2 linked regions of the Mus musculus genome follow. The protein of the gene in region 1 interacts with the protein of each later gene in a biochemical or structural test. Links are inferred from orthologs where the notes say so. Each region holds a gene or a part of one and is shown on either strand. Other genes may lie near its edges.

Region 1 (7,659 bases):
CAGTCTTTTAATATAGTTCCTCGTGTTGTGGTGACCTCCAACCATAAAATTATTTCATTGCTTCTTCATAACTGTAATTTTGCTACTGTCATGTAGCAAAAATATGCAGGATATCTGATATATGACCCCTATTGGGGTCATGACCCACAGGCTGAGCGCCACTGGAATAAGGCATTTTATGCTCTGACTTCCCCACCCCCACCCCCACCATCTCAGAAAGAATATCACCTAAGAAATCCCAGGCACAGGACTCACAAACACTGCCCGCCCTCCGAACAACATAGGCCTGGGCTCCACGTCTTCCTTGCTCTCTTTCAAGGCTCTCCACAACCCACTGGCTACCTCCCCTTGGACATCCTCCACCAGAAGTGAGCACTGCCCCAGGCTGCTTCAGACAGATGGCCACATAATGCACTCCACAGAAGAGCCTGGCTGGCACCCATGCCCACCTGTCTCCCTCAGAAGCACCCAACTTGGCATTTTCCCAGAGGATGTGGGTTCATTCTGGCTCATCAACCAATGATGACACCAGGGAGCCTCTCTGCTTCTGTGTCCCTGGCCCTCTGAAGGTAGTGTGGCCCAGGGCTGGGCAATGGGCACTGGAGAGCCCTAGGCCTTCTGGGTCATACCCTGTAACCTCAGCTCACCTGGCAGTTGAGACCAGTGTAGCCCTGTGGGCAGGTACACTTATAAGTACCATAGCTGTCTTGGCAGGTACCACCGTGCAGACAGGGCCGTGAATCACACTCATTGACATCATACTGACAGTAGCTGCCCGTGAAGCCAGGTGGACACAGACAGGTGAAGGAGTTGATACCATCCACACAGGTACCACCATTGAAGCAGGAGCTAGAGGCAGATGAGAAGCAGGGAAGAGTGAGGAGTTCCCTAAGGTCCTTGCCAGGAGAGACAACTCCATGCCTACCTGGCCACAATACCCAAATCACGAGCAGAGATTTTATAGCATATAGACACGTGGTGGTTGAGAAAAACAAAATCAAGGGCAAAATAGGAACACTATAGGAAGCGCATCACAAACCAGGCTTGAGATTGATTTAACTCTAAGCTTCCTGGCAACCAGGGCAAAAGGGGAACTAAGACAGATTACAAAGCTCTTGTTTGATAGGAGGCTAGTTCCCCAATTCCTCTGCACAAACTTCCTTGTTCTAAGTCACTGGAGGTCACAAAGGCCCCTTTAGGAGGGATACTGCAACATAATGAACAACGCTGGATTCAGTTCAATTAGTGCTGTATGCCCACTGGGTCTGGGCAAGACACCAGCTTGAGATGCCATGCTGTCAAGACTTTGTGTCTTCCACAGTCCATTTCTTTCCCTGTCTCAGCTGAGGCTGGGACCCACCTCTCAGTACAGTCAGGTGTGTTGTTCTCGCAGTGGATGCCATTGAAGCCCACGGGGCAGGTACATGTGTAGCTGTCCACACAGTCAGTGCAATTGGCACCATTTTGGCAGGGATTGCTGGCACATTCATTGATGTCCTCCTCACAGAAGGCACCCTGGAAGCCGGGCAGGCAGTCGCAGAAGGCTGTGTTGATGCCATCGGTGCAGGAACCCCCATTGTGACACGGGTCTGGAGGGACAGAAAGATGAGCCTTAGGTGGCCACTGGCCATGCTTCGGGGACCTGATGCTGAGAAGGTGGTATGGGGTGGCAAGTGCTCACAGCAAGCCTTGATGACAGTAGTCAACAGGGGCCCATCCCAGCACTGAGCCTGGAATCTGCTCCGCATACACTTTTTCCCTCAGGCCCAAGGCAGTCATAGGGAAGCCCATTCCCCTACACACACACTGATGGTGCCAGGCAGAACCTCCCTCAATCTCTCTCTGCCTTTAGCTTTGACTCAGGATGCAGGGCATCTCTAAAGCCCTACACAACTCAATGGGTCCTGACAAGGGCCGAGTGTCAAGGTTGAATACAACTAGGCCCCATGCCATCATTTTGAAGTGCCTGGTGCCTCTGCTCCATATCACTCAATTGGGCTGGGAAATCTAGCAGCAAAGCCCGTGAGAAGCACACACTGATGCTCAACAGCCTCCTCCTGGCCTGTCTAGCCTCTGGCCTGTCTCTTTTTAAGGCACAGGCAAGTGGACTAAGCTGAGGGCACAGCTATCCACAGTCCTTCATGACTGCCGGGCACCAGGGCTATTTTCCACCTCAGACTCTCAGCAGCTCCCTGTCATGTGTGCTTAGGAACAGAGGCACCGAAACATAGGATGGACAGAGCTGGGTACCACTTACTGGGGCGGCAGTCATCGATGTCACTCTCACAGTTGCGACCTGTATAGCCGGCCTGGCAGAGGCAGCGGTAGCTGCCATTGGTGTTCTGGCAGGAGGCCCCATGGCGACATGGGCTTTTCACACACTCATTGATGTCAACCTCGCAGGTTTGACCTGTGAAGACAAAAACTCATTTGGTTACCTGCCCCCACCCTCTGAGCCTCTGTCCTAGCTGGTCTGTTTATCTCCAGTGCTTCTCCCCTGACCTCTGGGCAACAGAAGGATATGGAGTTGGAATGGGAAGGACCATCTCCTGCTCCCAGAGCTTCCCAGAGCTTCCCAGAGCAGGTAGCTCAGCATTGATGGGCTCCTTTCTCGAGACTGCCCCACAGGCTGGCCAGGGCCCCTGACTTCCCATCCACCATCCTTGTCCCAGCCTGGTGGGACCAGGCAAGCCTCACCTTGCCAGCCTGTGGGACAGACACAGGAAAAACTCTCATAGTCTTCAGACTCCTTGCATACCCCGCTGTTTTTGCAGGGGCTGGTAGCACATGGGGCCAACACCACCTCACACGTGGCTCCTAGAAAGAAAGATTTGTAGAAGATAGAACCCAGTGAGCCTGGCCCATAGGGTCTTCCATAAAGGGGGGCGGGGGGTAGGTATAGGAGATGCTGTATGATTGGCCAGCCAGACTCTGATCCCGGGAGGAATGACGATTACTGACAGGAGGTTAGAGATAAAGCAGAATCAAGTTTCTCTCTTAAGTCACTTTTTTTTTTTTTTTTTAACGAGCATAGTATATTGCATGCAGGTGTGTAAGAGTGTATGCAGAAGGAGAGACGGATATCAGGTGTCCTCTACCAACCCCGCATCTTATTCCTTTGAGACAGAGTCTCACTGAATCAGACGCTTTGCCATCTTAGCTAGGCTGGCCAGCCAGAGAGCTCTCAAGATGTCTCTGCTCCCAAATGTTGGGGTTATGGGCATTTAGAGGTACCCTGTTTTCATGAAACAGGCTTCATGTTTCCACAAGCACTCTTTCTCCATGAGCCATCTATGTAGTCCCGGAAGCCATCTCTCATCTCCCAAATGCTCCACGATGAAGCCTGGGCCTTGCCCAACCAGAAAACCTCAAAACAAGACCCTACTATAACAGGTGGTTGAGCCTGGAGGAACCTGGCCTGCTCCCCATTCCAGGAAAATCCTTGAGCTGATTCTGAAGCTTTAGGTCACAGCAGGCTCACTCCTGAGACAGAGCTACTGTGGCTACCCCAAGCATATCCTACTTGGGGAACATGGGGTGCAGCCTCACACTAGGGCAGTGAAATCTGATAACCGCTTGGGGGAGCCACGAGTAACCCAGGTGACTCTCCTTGCAATCCCAGTTAGCTTTCCTGTTTATGGCCATGGTTGGCTCCAGGAGCTAAGCAAGGAAACCTTATCTTCCTTGTCTCCCACCATGTCCCCAGCCCACTGGTGAGACTCTCCAGGGCCTCTCTCTCTATCGGTTTCCACGGTGACCTGGGCAGACAGGAACTTTGACAGAGTTTCCGACAATTGTGCAAAGGGAAGCAGGAAGCTGGTCAGCGCGGCTTGACTCCTCCCGCTAGCCCCGATAGCAGCAAGACCAAAAGGAACATGGGGTGTGCCTGGCTGCTGACAGTTTCCTCACTGACCAACACAGGAGACAAAATCCAGGCCCTTTAACTTTGTCAAAGAAAACAGCATCCTGCCAGGCATCATAGGAACACTGGAAGGGCCTCCACCTTCACAGACCCACTTGCTATGTCCAGAACCTAGCAGCAGCAGCATGAAGCCACCAGTACTCTGTGGCAGTATTTGGAGCTGCAGGGTTGGGGGCCATGTGGTCACGGCTTTCATGTTCAATGCACATCTCTCCTGCAGGGGGTCTATTTCTCGCCATTCCTCAGGCAGTGCCCATGGCAGGAGCTGCCTCTGTTCATCTAACAGAGGGCTCCTTGTCTCCTCACACAAAGAAGCTGCCATCAAAGGAATCCCAGGCCCAGCCAGCAGAGGAGGGCAGCCAGGGCCCCCAGAGGCACAGGCAAAGTGGACCCTGATCCATGCAGTACCTACCAGTCAGCCTCCCAGACTTTCTCTGGAGGAGTCCAGTGCTCACCTCACTCCAGACATACCAGATAAACACCCGGACACACGGCCTGGAGCTTCCTCCTAGGCATCCTCTGTGTTTGCCCATCTGGTGACTATCCCCAGGCCCAGGAGGCCTGGGCTGTAGCCTGGGCTCAGAGCCTTCCTGCTTAACTACAGTTCCAGTCTGAGGACCTAAGACCCTCAGCGAGGAACAGAACCTTCTTCAGTGCCTGGTAAGCCCATATACTCTTAGCTCCACTAGCTACCACCAGAGCCAATTCCAGTCCCTGGCTGTTCGTACCTGTATATGGCAGAGGACAGTTGCACTTGTATCCAGCGACATCATCAATGCAGGTCCCCTGGTTCAGGCAGGGGTTGGAGGCACATTCGTTGATGTTGGTCTGGCAATTAGGGCCTGTAAGGAAGTTGAGCAAGAGGAGGTGGGCCAGAGCCTCTGCCCTATGCCTTTCCTCAAGAGAACTAGGATCTCTGCCTGAGAAATGCTAGCTCATCAGGTGGACCGAGAAAGAGACCAAAGGGAGGACCCATTCTGCTGTGTCACCCGCCACACTTACCACTGAAGCCTTCTCGGCAGGTGCATACGTAGCCACTGGTCATGTCCTTGCAGGTGCCACCGTTGACACAAGGGTTGGACTCACACTCGTTGTTGTTGATGTCACAGTTTGTTCCACTCCACCCAGGGGCACAGTCACACTTGTACCTACGGAGAGGCCTGAGCTGTAGCCTGGGCTCAGAGCTCTCCTGCTAAACTACAGTTCCAGTCTGAGGACAAGGCCACATCATCCACTGGGCTGGAGGTACCCACCTGGCCCAAGACCGTGCAAGGGTTCCAGACTGGAACAATGCCACCTTGACAATGCTGACCCTCTGTATAAAACTTTAATAGTTTTAACGGAGACCTTAGTAATCTCCTCGTCCCCCACACACTGACAAAGGGCTGCTGTCACCACAGTATCAGACAACTGTTTCAGCAGCCACAGTGTGCTTAGAGTCTATATCCTGAGCTGATGCTAGCCAATGAGGATACAGCCCAGGGATGCTGGGAAGACACTAGGGGCTGACCTCAGATCACTGGTCTCACAGGAGCACCCATTCACCCAGCCTGTGTCTGCCCAAGGCTACAGCTAGTCCCTCCCAGGTCAGTCTGCCATACCCATTGAGGCCATCCCGGCAAGCTCCGTGGATGCAGGGGTTACTGTTGCACTCGTTGACCTCGGACAGGCACGTGGGGTCATGGTAGCCCTCGGGGCAGCGGCAAGTGAAGCCCGCGATGCCATCCTCACAAGTGCCCCCGTTGTGGCAGGGGCTGCCCGCACATTCGTCAATGTTGACGTTACACATGCTTCCTGTGGGTGGGAAGGGGCTCAGATTCCAAGCCTGCCACCCAGAGCCTACCCCTCCTAGAGCTAGACCTAGCTGGGTCTAAGTTTCCCCTTGTGCTAATCTATGAAACTTTGAGCGATAGTAAAGTGCCTTATGTAGCGATGAGTTACATGACCGTAGTGCCAGTAGCTTCTGAGCCTCATGTGATCCAGTCTGGCCACAAACTCACATGTAGCTGAGAATGACCTAAACTTCTGATCCTCTCGCTTCCAATGTCAGAGTGCTAGGGTTACAACGTATGCATGCCACTGCATCTGGTTAACATGGCAGGAGGACTGAACCCAGGGTTTACACATGCTAGGTCAACACCTTACCAACTGAGTCACTCTGCAGCCCAGCTTTACCTCAGCCTGAGACCACCCATCCTCTTCTATCCTCTGGTGGACAATGTCCTCGGTGCTCAGAGAAACTAAGGATTTTATCAGATCTAAACACATATCCAAAAGCCTGGCCTCGGAGCTCTGGCCACCCCACTTCAGGCTACTGGGGCTTTAAGTCTGGCATGGCCAGGGCTGACACTGACAGGGGAAAGGAGGCATATGGAGGCCACCCAGTCTTTATGATAGATACCTCTACTGGTTGGCAGATCAAGATCTGGGTAGTTGACACCCAGCTTGTGACATCCAGCCCTTGGACCCTGGCTAGCCCCACAGTCCCTCCCAGACTCTAGGGATGACCCTGACCTCTGCCTTCAGCCACTCACCTGTGTAGCCTGGTTCACAGGCACATTCGTAGCCATCAATCTTGTCCAGACAGGTGCCAGAGTCACAGGGGTTGCTGGCGCAGTCATCCAGGTTGATCTCACAGTTGGGCCCTAGGGGCAGCATGACATGTGGTCAGCTTCCAAGCCTGGCCTCACCCTTTTCCACCCACTGCCAGCTCCGGCCAGTCACCTGTGGTTCCCTTGAGGCATAAGCAGAGGTAGGAGTTGTCACGGTCCTGGCAGGTGCCCCCATGGCGGCACGGTTGGCTGTGGCACTCATTGATGTTGGTCTCACAGTGATGGCCTGTGTAGCCTGGCTGGCACAGGCAGGTAAAGGTGGCCACACCATCCTTACAGGAACCATAGTGGCAGGGGTCAGGGTCACACTCGTCAATGTCCACTTCGCAGTGGGTCCCTGTGTAACCTAGATGGCAGGAAAGGTGGACATTAGTGAGCTTCAGGGCCAGTTACTCCCTCAACACTTAGTTGGCCACACCTTGGCAAACCACCGAGCAGGCCCAGGATCACTGCCTGGTCATCGATGGATGTGGGGTATCACATACCCAGGGATGTTCTCATCACTCCTGCCTGGAGTCCAAGCGGAGTTAAGTTTCTGACTCTCAGATTATATGGCCCCAAACTAAGGCCTCCCCAGTTTCCTGTCCCCTTCTCAGCACTATCTAGCCTCAAGAGTTCCCTCCCCCAGATCTTGCACTGCCTCTTGTACCTTCTGTACACACGCAGGTATAGGTGTTGGGCCCATCCAGGCACTTGGCACCGTTCTTGCATGGTGTGCTGGCACACTCATCCACATCATACTGGCACAGGTGCCCGTTGAAGCCTGTGGCCAGGGAAGACGAGATGGTTATATCTGACAGTATCCTAACCCCTTGGTTGCTACCCACAAACCTTAGAGTTGAATGTCTGCTCACATGGGCTCCCTAGAGGGTACTTTGATAACAGGGGCCACTAACCTCCAGGCTTCAACCAGCCCTTATATCCTGCCCCTTGCACCCTGCCCCTCTAATCAGCTCCTTGTTTAGCACTGCTCAGTGGCTGCCTCCTTGGCCCAACAGAGGGGCCTTTTTCCTAAATAGACTCTGGTTGCTATGGTTACAGCTGCACTAGGCTGTGAATGGGACTCCCCTAGCTGGACCAAGTCTAGGATGGCTTATTTACATCTCAGAAGGCCCAAGGCCTGGT
Region 2 (7,659 bases), on another chromosome or scaffold:
TCTGGCAGACTCAGGCATCCACCTGAATGGAGGCAGCAACTCCAGTGAGCCCTTTCCTCTAAGCCTGAGTAAAGAACTCAAGCAGGAGCCAGTGGACGACCTGCCGTGCATGATCGCGGGCGCTGGAGGCTCCGTAGCTCAGAGCAACCTCATGCCGGACCTCAACCTTAATGAGCAGGAGTGGAAGGAGCTCATCGAGGAGCTCAACAGGTCAGTGCCCGACGAAGACATGAAGGACCTGTTTACGGAGGACTTTGAGGAGAAGAAGGATCCAGAGCCTCCTGGCTCTGCCACACAAACCCCCCTGGCCCAGGACATTAATATTAAGACTGAGTTCTCTCCAGCAGCTTTTGAGCAGGAGCAGTTAGGTTCTCCACAAGTAAGGGCTGGGTCTGCAGGCCAGACCTTCCTAGGAGCCTCATCTGCCCCTGTGGGCACAGATTCTCCAAGCCTTGGGAGCTCTCAGACTCTGTTTCACACAACTAGTCAACCTGGGGTGGATAATTCCAGTCCAAACCTGATGCCGGCATCAGCCCAGGCTCAAAGTGCACAAAGAGCCCTCACGAGTGTGGTATTACCTAGCCAGGGCCCAGGCGGGGCCTCGGAGCTGTCCTCTGCTCACCAGCTCCAGCAGATAGCTGCCAAGCAGAAGCGCGAGCAGATGTTGCAGAATCCCCAGCAAGCTGCCCCAGCACCCGGCCCAGGCCAGCTGGCCACGTGGCAGCAGGCAGGGCCCTCCCACAGTCCCTTAGATGTTCCTTATCCCATGGAGAAGCCTGCCAGCCCTTCTGGCTACAAGCAAGACTTTACCAACTCAAAACTGCTCATGATGCCCGGTGTGAACAAGAGTTCTCCTCGGCCAGGAGGCCCCTACCTCCAACCTAGCCACTCCAACCTGCTGAGTCACCAGTCACCAAGTAACTTGAATCAGAACCCCGTGAATAACCAAGGGTCTGTGCTAGACTATGGCAATACAAAGCCCCTTTCTCATTACAAAGCAGACTGTGGCCAAGGTGGTCCTGGGTCTGGCCAGAACAAACCAGCTTTGATGGCATATCTTCCCCAGCAGCTGCCCCATCTGAGTAACGAGCAGAACTCCTTGTTTCTGATGAAACCAAAGTCAGGAAACATGCCCTTCCGGTCATTGGTTCCACCTGGCCAGGTGAGTAGGCCCTTCACTTGCCATCACTCAGCTACGGGCACTAGTGAATGCACATACTGAACTAGAATCAGCATGCACGAGACAGTGGTAGCGGCTGCTGTCATCCTTTGAAGTGGAAAACGTAAAAAACAGGGCAAGGCTGGTGTTCGTGTTTTGAGGCACGGTTCATTTATCCTTGGCTGGCTGTGGAGCCACGCTGCTCTTGAGCCTGATTCCCCGCGCCTCTGCCTCCCAAGAGTTGAGATTACAGATGACTGGAATTGATCCTTAATAAAAATAGAGTAAAATTCCTTAATGTAGCAAGGCAGTGGTGGTGAGACCTTTAATCCCAGCACTTGGGAGGCAGAAGTAGAGGATCTTTTGCAATTTGTGACCAGCCTGGTCTACAAAGCAAGTTCCAGGACAGCCAGGGCTACATGGAGAAACCTTGTCTAGAAAGAAAAAAATTCCTTAGTATAAATTAGTCTTTAACTACATAAACATTTGAGAAATCACCTAATTTAGTTTAGTCGTCTCTTGCATGCCAAACAACTACATAAGTCCTTGCCAAAAAATAAATAAAATAAGGGGCTGGAGAGGTGGCTCAGCCATTAAGACTGGCTGTTTTAGAAGTCCTGAGTTCAGTTCCCAGCAACCATATGGTAGCTCACAACCATCTGTAATGGAACCTGATTCTCTCTTCTGGTGTGTATGAAGACAGAGCACTCATATAATTAAATAAATAAATCCTTCTCGTGTGTGTATGTGTGTGTGTGTGTGTTTTAGATAGTCAAATAGCCTGGCATGGCAGCACATACCTTAAATCCTGCATTCTCTGAGGAGGCAGAGGCAGGGGGAATCTCTGAGTTCAAGACCAGCCTTGTCTATATAATGAGACCCTGTTACAAAACAACAAACCAGTTGTGGTTCACAGTAATCCCAGCACAGGGAAGTTGAGGCAAGATTGCCACAAGTTTGAGGCCAGCCTGGGCTACAGTGTGAGGCCTTGCTTGTTTTGTTTTGGAGAAAAGAAACGAGGGGGAGGGGATGAATGTATTAAGTTCCATGGCTTTAAGCATGAACTCAAGAAAGGCAGGGTACAGAGCTGGTGGGCCATGTGCTCAGAACTTGCTCCTGAAACAGGAGCCCGGCAGCTCACTGGCCAGCCTGTCTAACTACACTGAGCAGCTCTAGACTCACGAGATCCTCTCACAAAATGAGGTGAAACAATGAAGAAAGTCACTTGATGCTGACCACTGGTGCACAAAGAAACACCAAATAAAATTTGAAATCTAAACACTATAAAGTATCTGTGTCTTCCCAGAAAAATACGCATAGACTAGTGAACATAAAAACGATTTCATGCTCTCTGGGCCAGCCATAAGGCAAGTCTGCATTCTTAACAACATAGCATTATTTTGCTTTTGTTTTGTTTGGTTGGAGGCTAGGATATTTGTAGGGTATTAGTGGTTTTTTGGCTTTTTTTTTTTTTTTTTTTTTTCTTCGAGATAGGGTTTCTCTGTGTAGCCCTGGCTGTCCTGGAACTCACTTTGTAGACCAGGTGGCCTCGAACTCAGAAATCTGCCTGCCTCTGCCTCCCAAGTGCTGGGATCAAAGGCGTGTGCCACCACTGCCTGGCTTGTTTTTTGGCTTTTAAAAAATAATTTATTTTTATGTACATTGGTGTTTTGCCTACATAAGGGTGTCAAAGGTTGGCGTTACAGACAGTTGTGAGCTGCCATGTGGGTGCTGGGAATTGAACCTGGCTCCTCTGGAAGAGCAGTCAGTCTCTTAACCACTGAGCCATTTCTCCAGCCCTATTGTTTGTCTTTAATGAGGCTTTTTATAGGTTGGTTGGTTTGGAGTGTTGTTTGCTATTTTAAGTTAGGGTCTCATGTATCCCTGACTGATCTGGAACGCACAGAGTTCCACTTGCCTCTGCCTCCCAAGTGCTAAAACTTAAAGATGCCTCCACACACATGAGGGACATTTCATGTCCAAACTATAAAATCAGGGAAGCAGAGGCTTGGAGTTACAAAAGAGAACAAGACTATCACTGGGTGCCGCTTATCTGGCCTGATCAGGGTTGGATCCATACTATCTGACTTGTATCCCTTCATCTTTGTTGACAGGAGCAGAACCCTTCCAGTGTCCCTGTAGCTGCCCCAGCTGCCAGTGTGGGAACCCAGCCTACTGTGTCTGTGGCCAGCACTCACAACAGCTCGCCATACCTCAGCAGCCAGCAGCAGGCAGCTGTGATGAAGCAGCACCAGCTGCTCCTGGACCAGCAGAAGCAGAGGGAGCAGCAGCAGCAGCAGCTGCAGCAGCAGCAGTTCCTGCAGAGGCAGCACCTCCTGGCTGAGCAGGTAACAGGCACCATTTCAGCTTGTTTGCACTCAATGTCAGTGTCGTGTCCTTTAAAACAATAAAAACAGGTGAAGTGCTAAAGTGCTGGTCAGCCTATGGCCTGCATGCAATCCCTGAATCTCACATACACGTGAAGAGTGAGAGTCTACAGCACACCGTGGCACACACATCTCAAGAGCAAGCATTCACGCACACATTCACGCGTGATGATAGGTTGTTTGCTTGTTTGTTTGTTTAAGAAGTTAGGACCAGTAGGCTAGAGGTCTGTTCCCAGCACCCCCACATCAGGTGGTTCACAACTGCCTATAACTCCAGTTCCAGGAATTCAACCACCATATCTCACCTCTGTGGACACGTCTGTACATGTGGTACACATAAACCCACACAAACAAATATGTTTTTAAGAATATGCCAGCCATGGTGGTGCACACCTTTAATCCCAGCACTTGAAGGTTAGAGGCAGGTCAATCTCTGAGTTTGAGGCCAGCCTGAGCTACATGGTGAGACACTATATCAAACAACAACAACAAAACCTTTAATATTCAATCTTAAAGAAGGGGCTGGAGAGATGGCTCAGTGGTTAAGAGCACTGACTGCTCTTCCAGAGGTCCTGAATTCTATTCCAAGCAACCACATGGTGGCTCACAACCATCTGTAATGGGATCAGATGCCCTCTTCTGGTGTGTCTGAAGAGAGCTTATATACATAAAATAAATAATTCTTTATAAATAAATCTTTTAAAAAAACATTTATTTTTATATGTAAGTACACTGTAGCTATCTTCAGACACACCAGAAGAAGGTGTCAGATCTCATTACAGATGGTTGTGAGCCGCCATGTGGGTGCTGGGATTTGAACTCAGGACCTCTGGAAGAGCAGTCAGCACTCTTAACCGCTGAGCCATCTCTCCAGGCCCTATAAATAAATCTTAAAGAAAAAAAAAAGGCTAATGAAGTAGCTCAGTGGGTAGAAGTCCTTGTATGCAGTGTGATGACCTAAGTGTGACCCAGAGTCCCACAAGGTGGCAGGAGAGGGCTGACTCCAGCAAGCTGCTCTCTGAACTTCACACCATGGCACACATCCATACACACACAAATAAATAAAAATGGCATAAAGTAGAGCAGCCCTTGAAGTCCTGCGATCACGATGCACATTTTCCTACTGGGTTGCCAGGCATAGTGCAGACCCCAGGCAATCATGAGAGCCTTTGAGAGGTTGAACCATGTCTTCTAATTAAGACGGGAGCCAGCTGGGCATAGGAGCCCTCGCCTGTAATCCTAGCTGCCAGGAAGCTGATGCAGGAGAATCACCCTCATGTTTAGCTACACAGTGAGTTCGAGGCCAGTCTGGGCTACAGAGCGATGTGGTATCTCAAAGGGAGGGAAGAGGCCAGGGAGGGACTCAAAAGTCGGAGACCCTGAGTTCATAACTCTGGGACCCGTGTAAAGCAGGGTCCAAGTCTGTAACCCTAAGTGGAAATGGGAAGCGGGGACAGATGCCCTTGATGCAAGCCTGGCTTCAGTAATGAACAAAAGAAACCCCGTGACAGCACGAGGAAGAAAGCAGGACCCACACCAAAGCCCTCTGACACGCCATGGCGATGCTTACCCACGTAACAAACAGAGAATACTGTGGACCCGACTCTAGAGACCACACTTGCTGAGGTTGCTTACTACCTCAGGTCCTTATTATGTTTTGTTTTGTTTTTCTAGACAGGGTTTCTCTGTGTAGCCCTGGCTGTCCTGGAACTCACTCTGTAGACCAGGGTGGTTTCAAACATAGAGATATGCCTGCTTCTGCTTCCCGAGTGCTGGGATTAAAGGTGTGCAATACCACCACCACCACGCCCGCCATCTTTAAACTAGCTGCTTATTAGGATATATTCATTACCACATATGGTTTGCTTAGCCAATAGACTTCATTGATGTCCATTGTAACTGTTGTGCAGAGTTGTGCAGTTACCACCAGAGCCCATGCTTATCGCCCCAAACACTGCACCCGTGAGCAGTCCCTTGCCTTCCCTGCACTCACGGGCGCCTGTGAGCAAGTGACAGGCCTGCTGGTGCCCCTTGTGAGTGACACACTTGCTTGTACACCTTGCGTTTCTCCTCATTGGTTTTGACTTCAGACTTCCATTGAGTTTTCCTGTTTGTTTCTGTTCTTGGCACTTTGTAGGAGAAACAACAGTTTCAGCGTCATCTGACCCGCCCACCCCCCCAGTACCAAGACCCAACACAAAGCACCTTCCCACAACAGGTTGGACAGTTCACAGGTGAGGAGAGGTGGAGGAGGCTGGGGGAGGCAGGCTGGGGAGTGGAGCTCATGGTGTACGGTCCTGATGGAATTGACTTGCTCACAGAAGCTCTGCTTAGGAAGGGAGGGCTAGATTTTCAGTTTCTTTGTGGCACAAGAAGGTCTCCAGGGTTAACTATGAGGATACTCAGTTAAACATCCATCTGGAGCAGAATTATTACTGTTAGAGGCATCTTATGTGTAAGCCTTTGTTTTGTTTTGTTGCTAGACAGGATTTTTCTATGTAATAGCCTTGGCTGTCCTGAAACTCATCTGTAGACCAGGCTGGCCTCGAATTCTGCCTCTGCCTCCTGAGTGCTGGGATAAAAGGCGTGTGCCACCCCCACGACCTGGCTTATGTGTAAATCTTAATTAAAATAGTTCTTTGTATCCTTAGGTGAACCCCACAGCAAGCTGGGTTTGGTGGTGCTTGCCTGTAATCCTAGCACTTGGGAAGTGGAGGCTGGAAGGTCAAGTTCAATGTCACCTTCAGCTTCTTAGTGAATCAAAGACTCTTGTCTTTAAAAGAAAACCAACATTTCCAGATGGAAAGATGTATTCTAGTGCACTCTGGTGTCACAAAGAAGGGAGGCAACTGAGCCTCAACGTCACCTCTGAGCTATAGAGATTGCAAGTCACATGGCAGGTGTATGCTGGCCTTGCCTTCCTTAGTTAACGTTCACTGTGAAGTGTCATAGAAACTGACCACAGCCAGGAAAGAGTCTAGGTGCAGTCTGGTGTGCTGGCTAGGAATATGGAGTTGGAAGTCTATTGGAGCCACTGGAGCATGTGCCTGGCCTGGGTTCTCAACTCCTTCCATGCCACACTGATGTATATGGGCTGTTAGCACAGTGAAGTGGTCCTTTTCAGCTCTCCCCTTTTCGTCACAACTGTTATTTAAGTTATTTTTATTAAGTCTCCCTTTGATGGGTGTTATGCACATGAGATATAAGTGCCTATGGGGGCACATTTGTGTATGCCTCTGTGTGTATGTGTATTACATGTGTGTGTCTGCATGGGTGCACTCACATGTGCTTCTTCTGTGCTACTGGCGACTGGAGTCAAGGCCTTGTGCGTGCTAAGAAAGAGTTCTGCCTACTGAGCTTCTCCCTCAGCCCCACATTCAGTTCTCAACACTTCCCCAAATGGCAGGCACAATGCCTTCAGAGTCGTGCATTCCTATGACCTGCTGCTCAAGCTGTGACCTTGTCACACCATGTGATGGCGTTGGCTTCCACAGACAGATTCTGGGGTATTGGTCTTGAAATCCCTAGTCCCAGCTGAGAAAACTTTGTTGGCTACTTGATAAATAAATGAATGAGACAGCTGGCTTTCGCCTGTGGATCTCCCTCCATCTGTCTTTGAGTTCTGTCCTGTCCCTGTGCCCGTGACATGTGAGGGCTCTGACTTTCATGCCCATGACATGTGAGGGCTCTGACTTTGATGCCCGTGGAAGAGGAGCTCAGCTTGGGCCTCAGAGACAGTTGACCATGACAGTCAGGAATGCCAACATGGGCTGGCAAGATAGTTCAACAGGTCAAGTCTGATGTCCTGAATGTGATCCCTAAGTCCCACCTGGTGTGGAAGGGAGCTGTATGCCTAGTTTATGACATTTGGGAAGAGGGAGATGCTCAATTGAGAGTAGGCAAACCTGTGGGGCATTTCTTAACTAGAGATTAATGTGGGAGGGCCCAGCCCATGTGGGTGCTGCTACCCCTGGTCTGGTTGGTGGTCCTGGGAGTAAGAGCTGAGCAAGCCGTGGTAAACAGGCTAGTAGGCAGCATCCCCGTATGGCCTCTGCTTTAGTCCCTGCGTCTGGGTGTGGTGGTGTATACCTTTAATACTAGCACTTGGGAGGC

What was found. The genes of interacting proteins can lie anywhere in the genome.
Region 2: the proteins of Notch1 (region 1) and Maml1 form a complex in vitro, tested with the Homo sapiens proteins (2 studies listed by BioGRID). The link is inferred for Mus musculus from reciprocal best matches to the Homo sapiens genes NOTCH1 and MAML1.

Annotation. Positions count from the first base shown.
Region 1 is NC_000068.7:26,471,424-26,479,082, forward strand, and holds part of Notch1 (neurogenic locus notch homolog protein 1 precursor), read right to left. Parts: intron 7,298-7,659; coding exon 7,184-7,297; intron 6,881-7,183; coding exon 6,647-6,880; intron 6,568-6,646; coding exon 6,457-6,567; intron 5,717-6,456; coding exon 5,524-5,716; intron 5,071-5,523; coding exon 4,925-5,070; intron 4,765-4,924; coding exon 4,651-4,764; intron 2,818-4,650; coding exon 2,698-2,817; intron 2,411-2,697; coding exon 2,258-2,410; intron 1,590-2,257; coding exon 1,361-1,589; intron 850-1,360; coding exon 648-849; intron 1-647. UniProt on the Homo sapiens protein: Functions as a receptor for membrane-bound ligands Jagged-1 (JAG1), Jagged-2 (JAG2) and Delta-1 (DLL1) to regulate cell-fate determination.
Region 2 is NC_000077.6:50,259,098-50,266,756, reverse strand, and holds part of Maml1 (mastermind-like protein 1), read left to right. Parts: coding exon 1-1,162; intron 1,163-3,273; coding exon 3,274-3,507; intron 3,508-5,683; coding exon 5,684-5,780; intron 5,781-7,659. UniProt on the Homo sapiens protein: Acts as a transcriptional coactivator for NOTCH proteins. Has been shown to amplify NOTCH-induced transcription of HES1. Enhances phosphorylation and proteolytic turnover of the NOTCH intracellular domain in the nucleus through interaction with CDK8.